2 linked regions of the Caenorhabditis elegans genome follow. Each later gene encodes a partner of the first gene's protein in a complex. Each region holds a gene or a part of one and is shown on either strand. Other genes may lie near its edges. The genes, in order: rpt-5 and rpn-13.

Region 1 (8,501 bases):
AGAAGGCGTATGAAAACCAACGACCTCGTAAGTGGCTCTGAAAAATATATTGTTATAGTTGCGGGTACATATTTCAAAAATTACTTGGAAAGATCTTTCAAAATGCTTCATCGCAGTCGTTACAAGACCTAACGGAACTCCATTTTTATCCATTTCTCTCATCAAAGGGGAGACAATTGATACGTGGACACAATTACGCCATACTCCCATAACCTGAAGTAGTTTTATACATTAATTTCCACTTCTCAATTATATTTACATTATCACTCCACTTTGCTAGCTGGGAATCGACAGTATCAAGAATAACTTCAAATGGTGCATGCTCAATCAATTCCTGAGTCGCCTGGTCTGATGTGTAGTCGACTGGAATTGCACCAAGTTGCTTCACAATATCGAAACTACAATTTTTATTTGAAAAATTGCAAAGATATAGATAATCTAACCTGCCCTTTGCACACGTTGCCACTATCTTTTCACATCCCCATGCTTTCAATAGCTGGATTGCCATACTTCCAACTCCTCCGGCTCCTCCATGAATCAAAACTCTTTGTTGTTTGGCATTTCGTTGTGAGACCCTGGCTATTGTAAAAGCTGAGTAGGCTGTCGATGCGACGTAAGGAAGTGCGGCAGCTGATACAAAGCTCAAATTGCTGGGCTTTTTAGAGCAATACTTCGAATCAGTGACAACAAACTCGGCATGTGTGCCTGGAAGAATTACAGGAACAACAGCCATAACCTGAAAACATACGATATTTAATCATGAATCGATGCATAATAGGATTTCGTTACCTCATCACCGGGAGCTAAATTGTGCACATCGCCACCAACAGATTCTACAACAGCTGTACAATCTCTTCCTGGAATTAGAGGGAATCTAGACGCGGCTGCATCACAGGACTCTATTTTTTTCCACGTCCCTAGGAATTCTCTACCGTATCCTTGAGACATGTCAACATCGATCGGATTAACAGACGCTGCCTACAAATATTTAAATTGCTTGAATCAAGAAATATTAATCTCACTTTAACTTTTAGAAGGACTTGTCCTGGTTTGTTTATGACTGGAAGCGGCACTTCTTTGAGCTCAACTCCAGATCCGTTTTCAGAGACCCATGCACGCATCGTTGATGATTTTGTTGAGAAAAATCTTCGTAGAATCATTTTTTCGATCATTTTGCTGAAAATTTCATGTGGAAATAACTTTTTTCTGATAAAAACAAATAAAACTGCACGAAGACTTCAAGTGTCGTAAAATTAAATGCCTTCTGTGTGGTTCACCGCGACGCTAAATTGCACAAATCATCCTTTTCAAAATTTCTCGTTCTTTTGGATTCTTTATCATTTACTGAAGGCTAAAAAGCTTATTATTGTTTTTTTTTAAGTTTATATTCAAAATTTTTTATCTTGAGAACTCATTAAAGATATTTTGAAGATAGTAACACAAATTTTAAACTTTTTTAAATAATATTTAGCTAGCCAAAACAGATTTTGTGGACGGAACGTAAACCTAATAGTAAGCTAAATACTGACGTAACCTTTGGGCCATCGTGAAATTATCAAGTCAAACTTTCTTTTATTCTAATCATTATTTCTCGTGATAAACACTTTCTCTCATTGTCACTCGCTCAATACACATTAGCGTTCGTTTAATTTTTTGAACTAAATATTCTCATTTACACCGCATTGTGTTACTGATTTTATTTTATTGTCCAGAACTTTGACTTTGCGTTATTCTCTGGAACTACTTTTCAGATCTCACCAGAAGCAATTACAACTAATTTTCAGGCCCCAGAAGCAGTACAATGTCGCAAACACCACCGCCAAAAGACGGAAAAAACCCAGAGGCAATGGAGGTGGAGGATGCTATTGATGAGGAGATTCTGAAAATGTCGACGGAAGATCTCAAAAGCCGTACCCACTTGTTGGACAACGAGATTCGTATTATGAGAAGTGAAGTTCAACGTATCAATCATTCTGCAACCACTCTCAAAGAACGGATCAAGGAGAATACTGAACGTATCAAAGTTAACAAAACTCTTCCGTACTTGGTGTCCAACGTTGTCGAACTTCTTGATCTCGAGGATAATACAGAAGAAGAAGGCGCAAATGTTGATCTCGATGCCCAAAAAACCAAGTGCGCAGTCATTAAGACTTCCACTCGTGCCACATATTTCTTACCAGTTGTTGGACTTGTCGATCCAGATGAGTTGAAGCCAGGAGATCTCGTTGGTGTCAATAAGGATTCATATTTGATTCTTGAAAAATTACCAGCAGAATATGATTCTCGTGTGAAGGCTATGGAAGTTGACGAACGGCCAACTGAACAATATTCCGATATCGGAGGATGTGACAAGCAAATTCAGGAGCTGATTGAAGCTGTTGTGCTTCCAATGACTCACAAGGATCGATTTGTTAATTTGGGTATTCATCCTCCAAAGGGTGTGCTCATGTATGGACCACCAGGTAAGATTACGAAAAATTTTTGATAAAGTAGTACTCCTAGAAAATAACCATTTTAATTACAACAGCTCAAGTGTAAATTATTCGTTTTTCAGGAACTGGTAAAACGATGATGGCCCGTGCGGTTGCTGCCCAAACTAAATCAACATTCTTGAAGCTCGCAGGCCCACAACTTGTTCAGATGTTCATTGGAGATGGAGCCAAGCTTGTTCGTGATGCTTTTGCTCTTGCTAAGGAAAAGGCTCCAGCTATTATTTTCATTGATGAGTTGGATGCCATTGGTACGAAGCGATTCGATTCAGAGAAAGCTGGAGATCGTGAAGTGCAACGTACCATGTTGGAACTTCTTAATCAACTTGATGGCTTCCAACCAAATGATGATATCAAGGTAAGCTGAGTTCCATTTTAAGTTATATTTTTAAGACGGTATAAGCTGTAAATATGAATTTAAGGTCATTGCTGCAACGAACCGTATCGATGTGCTCGATCCCGCTCTTCTTCGTTCTGGTCGTCTCGATCGTAAAATTGAGCTTCCCCATCCGAACGAGGATGCCCGTGCCAGAATCATGCAGATTCATTCCAGGAAGATGAATGTCAAGTATGTTTTCGCGACAGTTTTATTTGTAAAATTTAGTCTAATTAATTTTTTTCAGCAAGGATGTAAACTTTGAAGAACTGGCCCGCTGTACCGATGACTTCAACGGAGCACAATGCAAAGCGGTTTGTGTTGAAGCTGGAATGATTGCTCTTCGACGAGATGCTACTGAGATTCTTCATGAAGACTTTATGGATGCTATTCTGGAGGTCCAGGCAAAGAAAAAGGCGTCCCTCAATTACTACGCTTAATCCTTCACTCCCGGTTGTCACTGTGTTCCCTTTGAATCGCTCCCGAATTTTCTCACGCGATTTTTTCTTACTTTCATCTTTCGTATTCTATTCCCACCCCTCTCCTGTTTTTATTGATTCATCCTCGAAGTGCGTGGATTCCTAATTTATTTCCGATCAATGTGCATAAATGGTCACTCTTCGAAATGTGTTTCTTTCACTGTTTCAACATTCTGCGTGCTCTTCAAACATTTAGCGAGACATCTCAAATTGTAACTTGACCGATCCAGAAGTCAGTACTGACGTCAGTGAAACGTATGCAGAGAAAAGCTAAAGTGCAATCGCGCCCCAGTGCCAAATGGAAACGCTCCGCCTCTTTCATTTGGGTCTCGTTAGATAGAAAGTATTTTCTTTTTTGAAAATATTTATCAATTGAAATATCTTTACAATTACTGTTATCAATTTCATTATTGAATAATGCGAAGTGTATCAGATAATTATTTAGTAGTTGCACATGAAATTGGGGATCCTGTAAGCATCGAATCTTCGGAACCAACACCTCTTTTGAACCACTCTCCATCGATGCAGAAAAGTTCGGAAAGTATAAAGGGATTTTTCTCGAGCTGTAAATATTTGTATTTCATTGATTATCTTTCTGAAATAATTTTAATCTTACAGGTGGTGTATCTGTTACCAATTCTTTTGTCTTATGACTATATGCTACTACTTTTGATTGCGGAGGACACAAAGCAGAAATTGCATTACAATCTGGATAAGTGATCTCAGGTCGATTGAAAACAAAATGAGAATAATTATTGTAGACACGTTCATTTGTCTTTTTGAGCCATTCACTGTCAAAAGTTGGCCGTAAGATGCACCCACATCCTGAAAATTCGAATTATTGATTATTCAATCTTTTAAAACATTATTGTGATTTTTTATCGTATTTTCACAAGATTTTGGCAAGCTTTCTATAAGGCGCACGGATTTATTCTGATGGGTGGTAACGCGCCAAAAGGTTTATGGTAGTTATTTTCAAGCAATTTTGCGGCGGTTTTCTATTCACGATAACTAAAACATAAATGAATAAATACATTAAAAAAATTACAGGTTGTTCTAAATTTGTTGATATCTTAATTTTTTTTTAAACTTGCCTATCTAAAAAATTATTTAAAAACTCAAACGCATGTTCAAAACTGAAAGATTTTTGAAGGGGGTTCTCAAAACGTATAGGAATTCATAATATTTTGAAATAGATATTTTAATAGATTAAAAGGCAAAAATCACGAAGAAAAAGAGTATATTAAAATTCAAATCTTGTGGTGTTTCCAGCCGAGAAAGTATTTATATTTCAGATAATAAAGTATGGGACACCTGAGAGTCATTCAAAGCTGGGAGAGAAAAAAAACTGAATGGCTAATAAAAAAGTGGAAACAAATTTTCTGCCTAGATAGTCCTTTAAAAAAATTATGTGCTTGATTGAAGCTCCTGAAATATTTGTAGTAGAATTCGTAAAATATAATTCTGCTCAAAATACCAGGCTGAAATTCAGAAGTATTGCAAGGGAAAAACGAAACAAATTAAGAAAGAATATAAATTCCAAGATTTGAAAACATCTATCTTCAAATTAAGTTTCCACTAAATTGAGAACTGCAAGACCAATAGTCCCAATCAGATTAAGTGTACTGAGTTAAACTGGTTTGAGTTCCCATTAACAGTACTACTCTATATTCAAAGAAATTTTTCTGCACTGAAATAAAAAAAAAACAAAACTATTTCAAACAAAATTCATTGATCATATCTTCCATTTAACATTTGACCATTCCATAGTTCGCTACCTTCCCAACGTGGACTGCATGCTCTCATTCTTCCTTGATCTTTCAGCTTATCAGTAATGAATATCCTATAAATTATATATTTTTTTGTCAATTGACCCTATTGAAATTTTAAAATGCTCACTCATTTTTAGAAATCGTCGTATTGTAATAGAGAGAAGTTTCAAAACATCGAATTTTCCTATTGGAACTACAATCGTGAGAGATTTGCACGAACATTGTCAAATTTTCCTGTAAACTTGAAAGTCATGCATAGTTTTTTAAAATTAAAACTAACTGGTTTCTCAATACTTTCCGAAATTTAATCGGTGGTATGCCAACTCGAACGCGATGCTTTTCGCCTTCCGGATAAAAATAATCCTTATTTTCAAGTTCTCTTGAAAAATGAATTAAGTCAGTGATAATACATCGTGAGTGATTTCTGAGAAGTTGTTCGTACCTAAATATTTGTTTTAAGATTCACTGTTACTTGTGGATTTAGTTCTCTTCAAAAAATCATCTGGAATACTACGCTGATTGGTCCTACTAATTTTTGGAAATAAAAGCCATAGAAATATTTTACAATAAACTCACATAGGCTCATCTTCAAAAACTTCGATGAAAACGCAGACACGTGGTATATCACTACCACCAAAATCACATTCCATATCAATTTTAATCGATAATTCATTGCAATACATGGCCAAGATGGTGATTAGAATAATGATTCCATTGAGATATTGAGAAGAATTCATAATTGTCAAACGACAAAGTAAAACGAGAAATGGAAAATGTTTAGCGAAATGATATTTGGAAATTGAAAAAGTGGAAATTTTAATTTTGATAAATTATTTATTGAACTTAATTTGTTTTAATAGATTGTGAAAAACAGAAAGAATTGGAGAATAGAGCAAGTGCCCAGTATTGATTAAAGTATGCAATTATATTGATCACGACGTCAAAGCTTTCATACTTTCAGCCTCTTCACTTGACAAACTCGAATGTGCCTAAACCATGTTGTCTTCAGACTGAAAAGTAAATGACTAAAATTTCAACAAAAATGGCAACAATGCAAAAACCTACCTTATCATATACTGATGGTGTCTCCAATTTTTTAGACGGCTTGAGACTTTTGCTTCGTTTTTGATGCTTTTTATTTTTTGCCGAATGACGCTGTTTGCCAGGAGGAACACCTGAAACTTATGAAGTTTGTTATGCAAATAAAGAAGCTACAATGTTTTTTGAGCATCAAATTTTCACGAATATAATATTGGGCACAAAAATCGGACTTACTTTCAAGTGTCATACCAATTTCCAAGCATTGCTGATATCTGCATGCTTCACACTTTTTCCATTCCTTCACATCCTTTCGACAAAATCCTTTACGCTGACATTTCAGTTCTTTTTCATTTCTAACAACATCAAAGAAAGCCTCCGTACAACTATTGCATATTCTAAATATTTTTCTAAATTGCAGGTTAACACATCAATTAAATTATAGAGTGTAGAGTTTGAAGACACTTATTGGGCAAAAAGTGGGATTTTCATTTTGGAGAAAATTAAAACAGGAATAGGAGCTAAATTTGGGAAATAACGTTTTCGTAGGTAGATTTAATTTGACTGTTATTCCGACAGATTAGAACATTTAAAGTATAATGATGTGAAATTCCCACGAACGCAATTCCGCCAAAAATCATTTCACAGACTATATATTTTTAAAAATCTTACCTCATAGTTTTCTTAAACGCATGTCCACGTCCAACGTTCAATACAATATCCCAAGATTGATGTCAGCAAAATAAAGACCACGATTGCTGCTGCACCACCAACATAAGCCCAATCAATTGATTCTTCTTTCGATTCCAAAAATCTCAAGAACTCTTCTTGCAAGTCTACCATATCCGATGGAGTTTTCACGAAATTAGTATAAACAAGATCCCAGTTGATTCCAAATAATCTTTCAAGTACTCCTAATGATGTTTCCATGTCTTTCATGGGAACTTCTAGGTATCTCAAAGATTCTCTCATTTTTCTAAAATCAAATTGCATTGAAAATGGAATATTTGAGACTTCTTTGTAAATTGATCCAATTTGTGAAAGGTTTTTCTCAGTTCTGACAGATATCATAAAATCATCCAGTTTCATTTTATTACTTCTAAATTTCTCCAGGCTTTTCTTCAACTCCGGATATTTGCTCCAAGTCTCTTCAATCTCTTGTTTAATTTTCAGATGAGTTATATTCTTGATAGCTCCTAGAACAGCTTCACCGTTATTGATCACAGTTTCCAAGTGTTCACTAATATTTGAAATCTTACTAATAGTTTCCAGAGAATATGCAGCAAATGCAAAGTTTAGCAGTTTTTCTGGAGTTCCTTCGAATTTCTTAGACATTGGAAATGATACATGTTTTCTATCAGATGTAATCAGTAAGTTCCTCAAACCTGCTCGGAGCCGTGGGACATGCTCAAGAATCTGTCGTAGGCTAGCAATGTGAATATCAGATTCCAAACGGGAAACACGTTTTTGAACCAGACTAATATCATTAATATCATCAAGTTTAAAAAGTGAATCACATGATTTTTCGTAGAGATTTGTGTTGTGAATCCATGATATAACTTTGCTCTCTTTCTCTCCGGCGTTGGCTAAATCAGCAAACAATTGAGTATCTTTTTGAACCAATAATTCATAGAAATCGGTTAAATTTTGGAACAATTCTCTCGTTTGGGGGAGATAAGCAAACGTTTGCTGGTCCATCCAGGTAGATCCCGGGTTTGTTGAAATAGATTCAGCGTATGTTAACATGTTTCTTTTTGCCTCATAGACATCATATGGAAAACTTTCTAAAATCTTCATAACCTTTCGAGTCGGATTGGGTATTTTTTCAATAGTTGACGATAAACTCTGAATTTCAGCAAAAGAGTACGGCATTTCAAGTGAAGAAATATTCAAACAATCAATGTATTTTATTGTGTTCAATTCACTCAAGAATGTTCGAAAAGTCTTGATTCTACTGATAATGTCAAGAACATTTTCTAGACTGTCAGATACTCCTCGATCTTTGAACACACTCAAGTCTAATCTTGCATCGTGCAATAATTCCTTGAAACGATTCGTTTGTAACTCAATCTCTTGAGTTTCATCATTCAAAACAGTCTTTATCCATTCATCAATCCAGAAGTCTGAAGAATTTTGTTTTGAAATAAAAAGAGGTGCAATCAGAATAGTAGAAGAAGCCTGCTCATTGAATTCTTGAAAGATTGCTTGAATTTCTCGTAGAATCTTTTCGATTCCAGTCAACTGAGATATGTTGTAAAATGATTGAAGTTCCGGCGATAAGTTTTGAAAATTCGAAAACAGAGTTGAGAGTCGGCGGAAGTCACTAGCTTGATCAAAAACTTTTTTG
Region 2 (8,501 bases), on another chromosome or scaffold:
CAGCTCACCTTTTTAACAAAGGCACTTAGTTTGGCAGACTGCCAGTTGAACTTTTATTCCAGCTAAACTGCTTGTATGGGCGCTTTCAATTGAATTTTACCTGAAATTTAGAATATATATTTGAATGAAACAGTTCCACAGAAAATAGGAAAGTGAGAAAATGAGAGGTGAAAAAGAGAGAAAGAGGGCTTGTTTACTATCGCAAATGAGTTACTTATCTGCATCAGATGGATGGCAATAAGTGGGAGGGAATATTTGTGCATTTTGAACGAGAGTGAACGATCGGAAGAGAAATACATGCCGCACCTTGTGTTCATCATATAACAGGTTAGCTTTATAAAATGAGCATTCTTTTAATTTGAACTATTGCTTGTGTTAGAACATTCACCTAACAGAAAATGAGCGTGATGAAAAAATTATGAGTTTAAGCTTTAAAAATCAATTCAATGAACATTGACGTCATCAATGTTAGAAAAAATATCACAAGCGGGAACACAAACGAACTGTAGATATTAAAATTATTATATGATATGGAAAATATTACGCCTAATAAAGTGATAATATATTGAGACACTATTATCGCAAAAAAGATGATCGACGAGTGGCCGCGACACAAGGAGAACCGAACGAAGAAGTGGTGCGCTGGGTGGAATTCAAGGTCAATCGAACCTACAGGTGGCGCTCCTGCCATTTTTTGCCGCTTTGTTCGAAGGTCAGAAGGCTAATGAGGAGTGTGGAGCTCCATGAATTTTAGGAAGAATATTGAATAACAATTTACTATGAAAAAGTTATAAAATTGGCAGCTTATTGTGAAACTTGAGATTACAGAAAGCGGATTAGAGAACAGATCCTGATAAAAATTAAACTCACTTTTCAAATGTGCAAACGTTTAGTTTTATTGTACAGAAAACTATTTAAATTTGTTTTAAAACTGTTTTTTAGGATTTTGATCAAGGAATTCCGTTTAAATTACTTCAAAATCTGACAATGTTGAGAAAATGAAAACTAAAGCTAACGAAAACTTCACAAGAAACAAATTTCGGAGGAGGAAAAACATTTAAAGTTTCAGTTTACATAAATGTTCTCGAATGCAAAAATCTATATAAGAATATAGCAATATGAAATCGATTTTCGTGGACTTTAAGGATTTCATGGTAACTTGAGCTCGTGATAAGTTTGAACTATGATCGCTCATTGAAAGAATCCTAAAATTATTGTTCCCAAATTCTTGCCGTTTTCATGAGAAGCGAAAGAAAAATGAATGAAACAAAAGAAAAGCGACAAATCGACATTAAAATTTTAGAAATTTTCAAATGTTCAGTTTAAAAAAAAACAGTGGAAAAACAAGAGGAAATCAGTTAAAATTCAGGGTTTGTCTGAGAGTCAGTAGCAGAGAAAAGTGAAATAGTGTGGGAAACGAAGAGAGTCATACAAAGGGCAGATGGTGTAAACATTCGATTCGACGGCAGATTGCACACAAAAACTTACCGTAGTCAAGCGTGAGAACTTTGGCAAACAATTTTTTCTTGAATCGGATGGGAAATGATCACGCAAAACTGACTCTGTTTACTTATTTACACGAACGCTTGAAAATTATTGAAATAAAATGTCTATCGATCGATTTTTGAATGATCAAATTCACGTTGAAAATAAAAAATAAATTGTTGACAATAAATGTGTTAAGAGAAAATTCTCACGCAAACAAGATCACGTGGTGGGAATTATGTTGTTGTCGGTTTCTTTAAAAACTGAATGTTGGAGGACAACTATACAATTTTATCGTATTTACCTAAACTATTTAAACTGATACGATTTCTAAAATTAAGATTATTTTAGAGAATTCTCGGAATAATATCTCTCGCGAAAAGAACTTCGAGTTGTTTTAAAAATTAAAGTTATGAATTTAAATATTCTGATTAAATTCCTAAAGTTTGAATTTAAAAAATAAAACATGAAGTAAGAAAAGGAACATGGAAATAATCGGATTTTTATTTAGAAGGATTTTTTCATTTACCTGTGTCGGTTTAGGCGGAGTACGGTATTATATTTTAAGATTCAGTTATTATATTGCACCAGAATAAGAAGTATTGCACACTCTAATTGGACATATAACAATGAAAACCTGAAAAAATTTATCTACTTTTTCCTCAATCTCCCACGTCTCTACATTACCTTAACCCCTACCAAGAAGTGCGATTTTCAGACTGCTGCTTCTCCTCATTTTTTCTGTTTTTATGTATATCCTTTGCCAGATTTTCTTTCCTATTTCTCACAATAAGTCAGTTACCATGGAAATCGTCGGTGAAGGAGCTCCAATAAAAATCCGAGAATTTGATTATGGCTCCGTTGACTCCCACGCCGGCAAACAAGCGCTTATCCGAAGAAGCTGAACCAATCACTCACACGGCTACTTCTTGACGACGACGAGGACTGATTAGCTTTTCAGTTTGAGCTACTGAAATTTTTTCGGGTTATCCCATTCTGCTTTAAAATTTTCTTAATTCAAGTTTGAGAACGGGCTTATTCTTGTGGGTCTTCCCACGATCAATCCAGGAAGAGAATGACAAGAGTCTTCAAAGCCACATTCCATGACCCTAGAAGGACTTAAAAATATAAATATTGAAAAGAACCCAATAGTAATTTTAAACGAGACAGGCTTCTTTCGTATATTTGCATCCTCGTAAAGTCTTTTTTGTTGGACAATTTCTTATTTAAAAAAATCACCAAAATTTTCTGAATGTTTTTCAGACTGAGTAGGACATTATTTTTTAAACTTCTATCATAAATCTCGTGTAGTTTCATGAAAAACTCCCACCCATTTTCCCACTGTCATGAGTCAACGGGAAAGCAAAATTCGAGTACAAATTAGTGTTCTCCATTTAATTTGTGGCGTTCAACACATAACTCGTTCGCCCCTTCATTTTTTCTTCTATTCTTGGTAGTCGCGTATCACTTCTTATTCTGATCAAATAAATTTTTTACAAAAAAATTAGAGCTGAGCATTCAGATTTAATTATTTTTCTCAATATCGTGAGAAAAGGTTTATTCAATTTTGCTTCAGCCACTTGCTACAAACTACACCATCTAACGGCTAACACCATGTTCAGCGAGCATAAGAAGAAGCAGGAAGAAGCAAAGGTTTGTTCTTATCTGTATTCAAAAACGAACCGTTACCCGACAAGGTTACGAATTTCAATCAGAAAAAAATGTTCCAGAGAACCGAGAAGAATGGAGAATTGATCTTCGATGACCTGGATGCAAAAACTCGTGATCTGAAACTATCGGATCAGGCAAAAAACGACAAAAGTGAGTTAAACCGAAGGAAAAGTGTTCATAAAATCATCAATCTATCAGAGTACATGTCGGAGATGGAGACCAAGAACCCGGTAAGTCAATTTTTAATTTGTTGAAAAAATAGTTGATTATCTGAAATTTTAGAAAAGAAAATCTATCAAGAAAAGCGACCAAAAACCGTCAACGATGTCGCTGAATGTAGGAAAGGGTGGTGTGGAGAAAGAGAAGGAAACGATTTCCTCGCAGCGGAGCAATAGTTTGGAATCTCCAGGACTAGGAAGTCCCCAAAATGTTGGTCTCGGGATCTTTGAGGCAGCAACTATGATGCGCAACATCGGTAGATCTTTAAAAAAAAGTCACGTAGACATCTAAAATTACTTTTTAAGTTGACATCACAACCGACTCGACCACTATGAAGACGGGTAAAACGAAAACATTGAAATCAAAGGAAAGCAAGACCTCACTTGGTTCGGCAAGTGGGCCATTCTCTCAGATGAAGGAGGCTCAGGAGATGAAGAAAAAGAGCAAAAACAGCTTTGAACTGGATGATATTGACAACTAAACTAATATGTTTTAATACTCATCGTGTATACCCAGTGAATTTGTTTTAAAAATACTAATACTAATCGGTAATTGGCATTCTCAAATTTTGCAGAGACCGATTTTGTCAAAATAATGTATTGAATAAAGTGGTTTGATTTTTAAGATATTGGGTAAAAAAATAATGAGGCAAATTCGTCTTAAAACGAGCGGAGGACAAGTTAAATACAGAAAAATAGAACACAAAACGTGACAAAATATCGCATGTACGGTGTGCATTCGGAAACAGCGTTTTGTACGCAAGCACTGAACACCACGAGCAAATGCACCACGAGAAAAGTCATCCTTTTTTAGCCAAATTTGGAACAATATTGTTAACAATTGTTTCTTCAATTCGAGTTATCTTTTAAATATTAAAAAAGACATTATATTTTTACTAGTTATTTGAATTTAATTTTTTTTGACGGGAAATAATTTGTTTCTGTCCGACATGTTACTTTCCAAATCAATTATCAATACTTCAGTTTATTTGTGATATTCATTCCTCGTAATTTTGCAAGTTTGTTCTCTATTTTTTCATCTTGGTATTTTCAGCTTCCTTATCAAACATTCATTTATTTATTTCAGAGATGGCTGCTATGTTCAGTAATACTCGCTCGGTCGCTTCCTCTTCTGGCCATATTGTCGAATTCAAAGCTGGACGCTCTCGCCTTGAAGCTGGATCCGGAGATACTATGAGAAAAGTTGTTGCTGAACCCAAAAAGGGATTGGTATTCATTAAGCAAAGTAACGACATGCTCATCCACTTTTGCTGGAAGGATCGTGAAACTGGCGCAGTTGTTGATGACCTCATAATCTTCCCCGATGACGCTGAATTCAAAGCTGTTCCTGGATGCCCTGATGGCAAAGTGTATATGCTCAAGTTCAAATCTGGAGATATGAAGCTTTTTTGGATTCAAGATTCAACACCAGACGTTGACAAGGATCTTGTGAAGAAGGTCACTGACGCTCTGAACAAGCCGCCGACATCTCGTCCAGCTGCTTCCCGATCGGCTGGTTCTAACGCAAACACTGATCGTCAGTCTGCTGGAGGATCACTTATCTCTAGCTCAGACATGAATGCTCCCCTTGGAGGCATCGATCAAGGGCAATTGATGTCATTGATTCAATCTCTGCAAGGCGGAAACTCTGACACTCTTCCAATTTCTTCCGTGCCTCGAGGAGAGGACGCATCGTCAGAAGCAGACTGCGAGCCTTCGACGAATGCAGCTGAGGAAGGATCTTCAAATCCACTTTCCTTGAATAACCCGGCGATTCAACAAATCTTCAACAACTTGGGACGCTCACAAAAGAAAGAGGTGGCAGTCTCTCTGGCAACTGCTCTGTCGAATGAAACGGTTGCTGAAGTTGCTCGTAACCACGCTGAAGAGCTCGCACCGCATCTTCCAACTTCTGATGATCCAGCCCGGGAGCTTTCTGAGACAGTCAGAACTCCGCAATTCAGACAAGTTGGTTTTTAAAGCATATTATATTTTAACTGTTCTCTATTTTCAGGCTGCTGATACACTTGGACATGCACTTCAAACTGGTCAACTCGGGCCAGTAGTTGCACAGTTCGGAATGGATGAAGCCACAGTTGGCTCCGCGAATCAAGGTGATATTCGTGGTTTTGCTGCTAATCTCACAAAGGCTGAGGGAGGAGAAGATGCTGCCAAGACTCGTAAGTTTACTTGAAATTCTGAAACATAGTCTCACGTTCGTTCAGCACGGGTTGATAACCCGATCTGCCGGAGAGCTGTGATGCCGTCCGCTTATCTCGGCTTCTTTTCCCCCTCAATTGCGGCAACGGTGTCTCGGCTAGGTACGGCGCACTCTCAGTTGTTGAGTTTTTACTCATTTTTGAATATGTCACTAATTGTGATTGTCCTTTTGTTTCCTTTCGCACTATGACCATTGCGCCATTCCTTGTAAAATTTTGCTGCTCTTAACACTTAACACCTATCCATTTGCTATTTCAAAAACAATTTTTACAGTACCGTAAACCTCTGTACTTTTGATAAAAACATCAATAACCATTGTTAATTGTTTGCAGAAAACTCGGACGATGACGCCACTCGCGAACCAGAGCCAAAGCGCAACCGTCCAGACAACGAAGATATGGATGTCGATTAAACTCTCTGAATAAACAAATTCTTCATCACTTTTGTGCATATTCCCCCTTAAACTGTGTTCTCCGTGTTCCTCTTTTTCCGACTCGTCCCTTTAGTATTTCTTCATCATGCCAGAAATGGTGTGATAAGATAGTAGAGCGATGTTTATCGACCACTTCTCTTCGCTCTCTTTCATTTATTCGACCTTCAAGACGTCCCCATTTTTATTCCATTTCGAGAACTTATTTATTCATTGTAAAGTACTGCAAATAAACCCTTTTTACCATCAATTTGAAAGTTTCGGAAAGAACTCGTAATAGTAGCGATTAGTTTTATATTTTTCAAAGTTTATTGGAGTGCATGAGTTTCAAAAAAGTAAAAACGTGACCTCATGAAAATTTTTAGTTTTCATATGTTTTCGTCATAAATAAATAGTTACAAGAAATAATGGAGTCGTCTGACAATTTACATGATATAGATAATCTTGAAAACGGTAAATAAATAGTGTATAATTTATGCACCTTGCATCTTTTCTGCCTGTTATTTCCATTGAAATTCTGTAAATTCCAGGTAACATGGCTTGCCAGTGCTTCTTGGTTGGAGCCGGATACGTGGCTCTTGCAGCTGTGGCTTATCGTCTTTTGACGATTTTCTCGAATATTTTGGGCCCATACGTTCTTCTGTCGCCAATCGATTTGAAGAAAAGAGCTGGAGCTTCTTGGGCTGGTTCGTTTCTATATTTTTACTCTGGTGATGTCTTATCGTATAGCACTCAGAGAACTACTTTTGGTTCTCTGGAACTGTTATCATTTTCAATTGATAATAAAATTGCAATGAAAAAATTGTTGCGTAAATATAAAATAATTGTTTTGAATTTCAAACAAAAAATACATTTTTCAGTTGTCACCGGAGCCACTGACGGAATCGGAAAAGCATACGCCTTCGAATTGGCTCGTCGTGGATTCAATGTCCTGCTCGTTTCGCGTACCCAATCAAAACTCGATGAGACGAAGAAGGAGATTCTCGAGAAGTATTCCAGCATTGAGGTCCGCACTGCCGCCTTCGACTTCACCAACGCTGCTCCTTCTGCTTACAAAGATCTTCTCGCCACCTTGAACCAAGTAGAGATCGGAGTTCTTATTAACAACGTTGGAATGAGCTACGAATATCCAGATGTACTTCACAAAGTTGACGGTGGAATCGAGCGTCTTGCAAACATCACCACCATCAACACTCTTCCACCAACATTGGTGAGTTTTATTAGAATTGTACTATTGTGATCTTACTGAAAAAGTTCTTAACTCAGCTCTCCGCCGGAATCCTTCCACAAATGGTCGCACGAAAGGCTGGAGTCATTGTTAATGTTGGATCTTCAGCTGGAGCAAATCAAATGGCTCTCTGGGCTGTGTATTCAGCTACAAAGGTTTGAATTTCAAAATATCTTCCGTCTTTTAATTATAATTTTATTCCAGAAGTATGTCTCCTGGCTCACCGCTATCCTCCGAAAAGAATATGAACATCAAGGAATCACTGTCCAAACTATTGCTCCAATGATGGTCGCCACAAAGATGTCAAAAGTCAAGAGAACTTCATTCTTCACTCCAGACGGAGCCGTGTTCGCTAAATCAGCTCTGAACACTGTTGGAAATACCTCAGACACCACCGGATACATCACGCATCAACTTCAACTCGAGCTCATGGATCTCATTCCAACATTCATCCGCGACAAGATCCTCACAAATATGAGTGTCGGAACTCGTGCTGCTGCTCTCAGAAAGAAGGAAAGAGAAGCCAAATCTCAGTAATTTCTCGACGTTATTTTGTAGAATCTAAATCAGTCCAATCCATTCAATTATTGCTATTTATTTATGTTATATAAAGTTTTTGTTTTTACTAAAACTGTTCGAAAGAAGGAAAAAAACTTTCCCTAACATTACAGTAACCCAACAATGCTTCACGCAATGGTTTTTATTGTTTAAGAAAACACTGGAAAAACAGCAGAGAATAATGTTCTAAAATGGGTGTAAAATGAATAGAACCCCGAAGAGACAAAAAACAAAATATTAAACCCAGTAGGCTACAACTCGGAAATTTTTTGAATTTTTTTCGGAAATTTTTAGAATTTTTTTCGGAAATTTTTTGAAATTTTTCGGAAATTTTTAGAATTTTTTTCGGAAATTTTTTCGGAAATTTTTTGAATTTTTTCTGAAATTTTTTGAAACTTTTCATCAACAAGTAGGCCATGACCAAATTTTTAAATAGGTCAAATAAAAAAATAGGTCATGACCTAATTTTTAAATAGGTGAAATTAAAAATAGGTCATGACCTAATTTTTAAATAGGCCAAATTAAAAAATAGGTCATGACATACTTTTTAAGTAGGCCAAATTAAAAAATAGGTCATGACCTACTTTTTAAGTAGGTCAAATTAAAAATAGGTCATGACCTAATTTTTAAATAGGTCAAATTAAAAAATAGGTCATGACCTACTGTATAAGTAGGTCAAATTAAAAAATAG

The links.
Region 2: rpt-5 (region 1) and rpn-13 share a complex: the UniProt entries of both Caenorhabditis elegans proteins name them as parts of the 19S proteasome regulatory particle complex.

What each region holds. Positions count from the first base shown.
Region 1 is NC_003279.8:5,736,855-5,745,355, reverse strand, and holds rpt-5 (26S protease regulatory subunit 6A), read left to right. Parts: upstream 1-1,784; 5' UTR 1,785-1,801; coding exon 1,802-2,462; intron 2,463-2,554; coding exon 2,555-2,847; intron 2,848-2,911; coding exon 2,912-3,057; intron 3,058-3,112; coding exon 3,113-3,305; 3' UTR 3,306-3,488; downstream 3,489-8,501. Other genes in the region: rad-8 (Reticulon-4-interacting protein 1, mitochondrial), read right to left, coding at 1-37, 85-213, 260-398, 444-736, 790-978, 1,023-1,172; F56H1.10 (uncharacterized protein), read right to left, coding at 5,073-5,187, 5,244-5,357, 5,397-5,558, 5,693-5,853. UniProt on the Caenorhabditis elegans protein: Component of the 26S proteasome, a multiprotein complex involved in the ATP-dependent degradation of ubiquitinated proteins.
Region 2 is NC_003281.10:6,337,886-6,346,386, reverse strand, and holds rpn-13 (Proteasomal ubiquitin receptor ADRM1 homolog), read left to right. Parts: upstream 1-4,458; 5' UTR 4,459-4,463; coding exon 4,464-5,342; intron 5,343-5,388; coding exon 5,389-5,554; intron 5,555-5,599; coding exon 5,600-5,695; intron 5,696-5,926; coding exon 5,927-6,006; 3' UTR 6,007-6,274; downstream 6,275-8,501. Other genes in the region: C56G2.9 (DUF4604 domain-containing protein), read left to right, coding at 3,100-3,138, 3,216-3,306, 3,355-3,386, 3,439-3,631, 3,681-3,856; Very-long-chain 3-oxooacyl-coA reductase let-767, read left to right, coding at 6,432-6,477, 6,555-6,710, 6,885-7,234, 7,279-7,407, 7,457-7,789. UniProt on the Caenorhabditis elegans protein: May function as a proteasomal ubiquitin receptor. May promote the deubiquitinating activity associated with the 26S proteasome.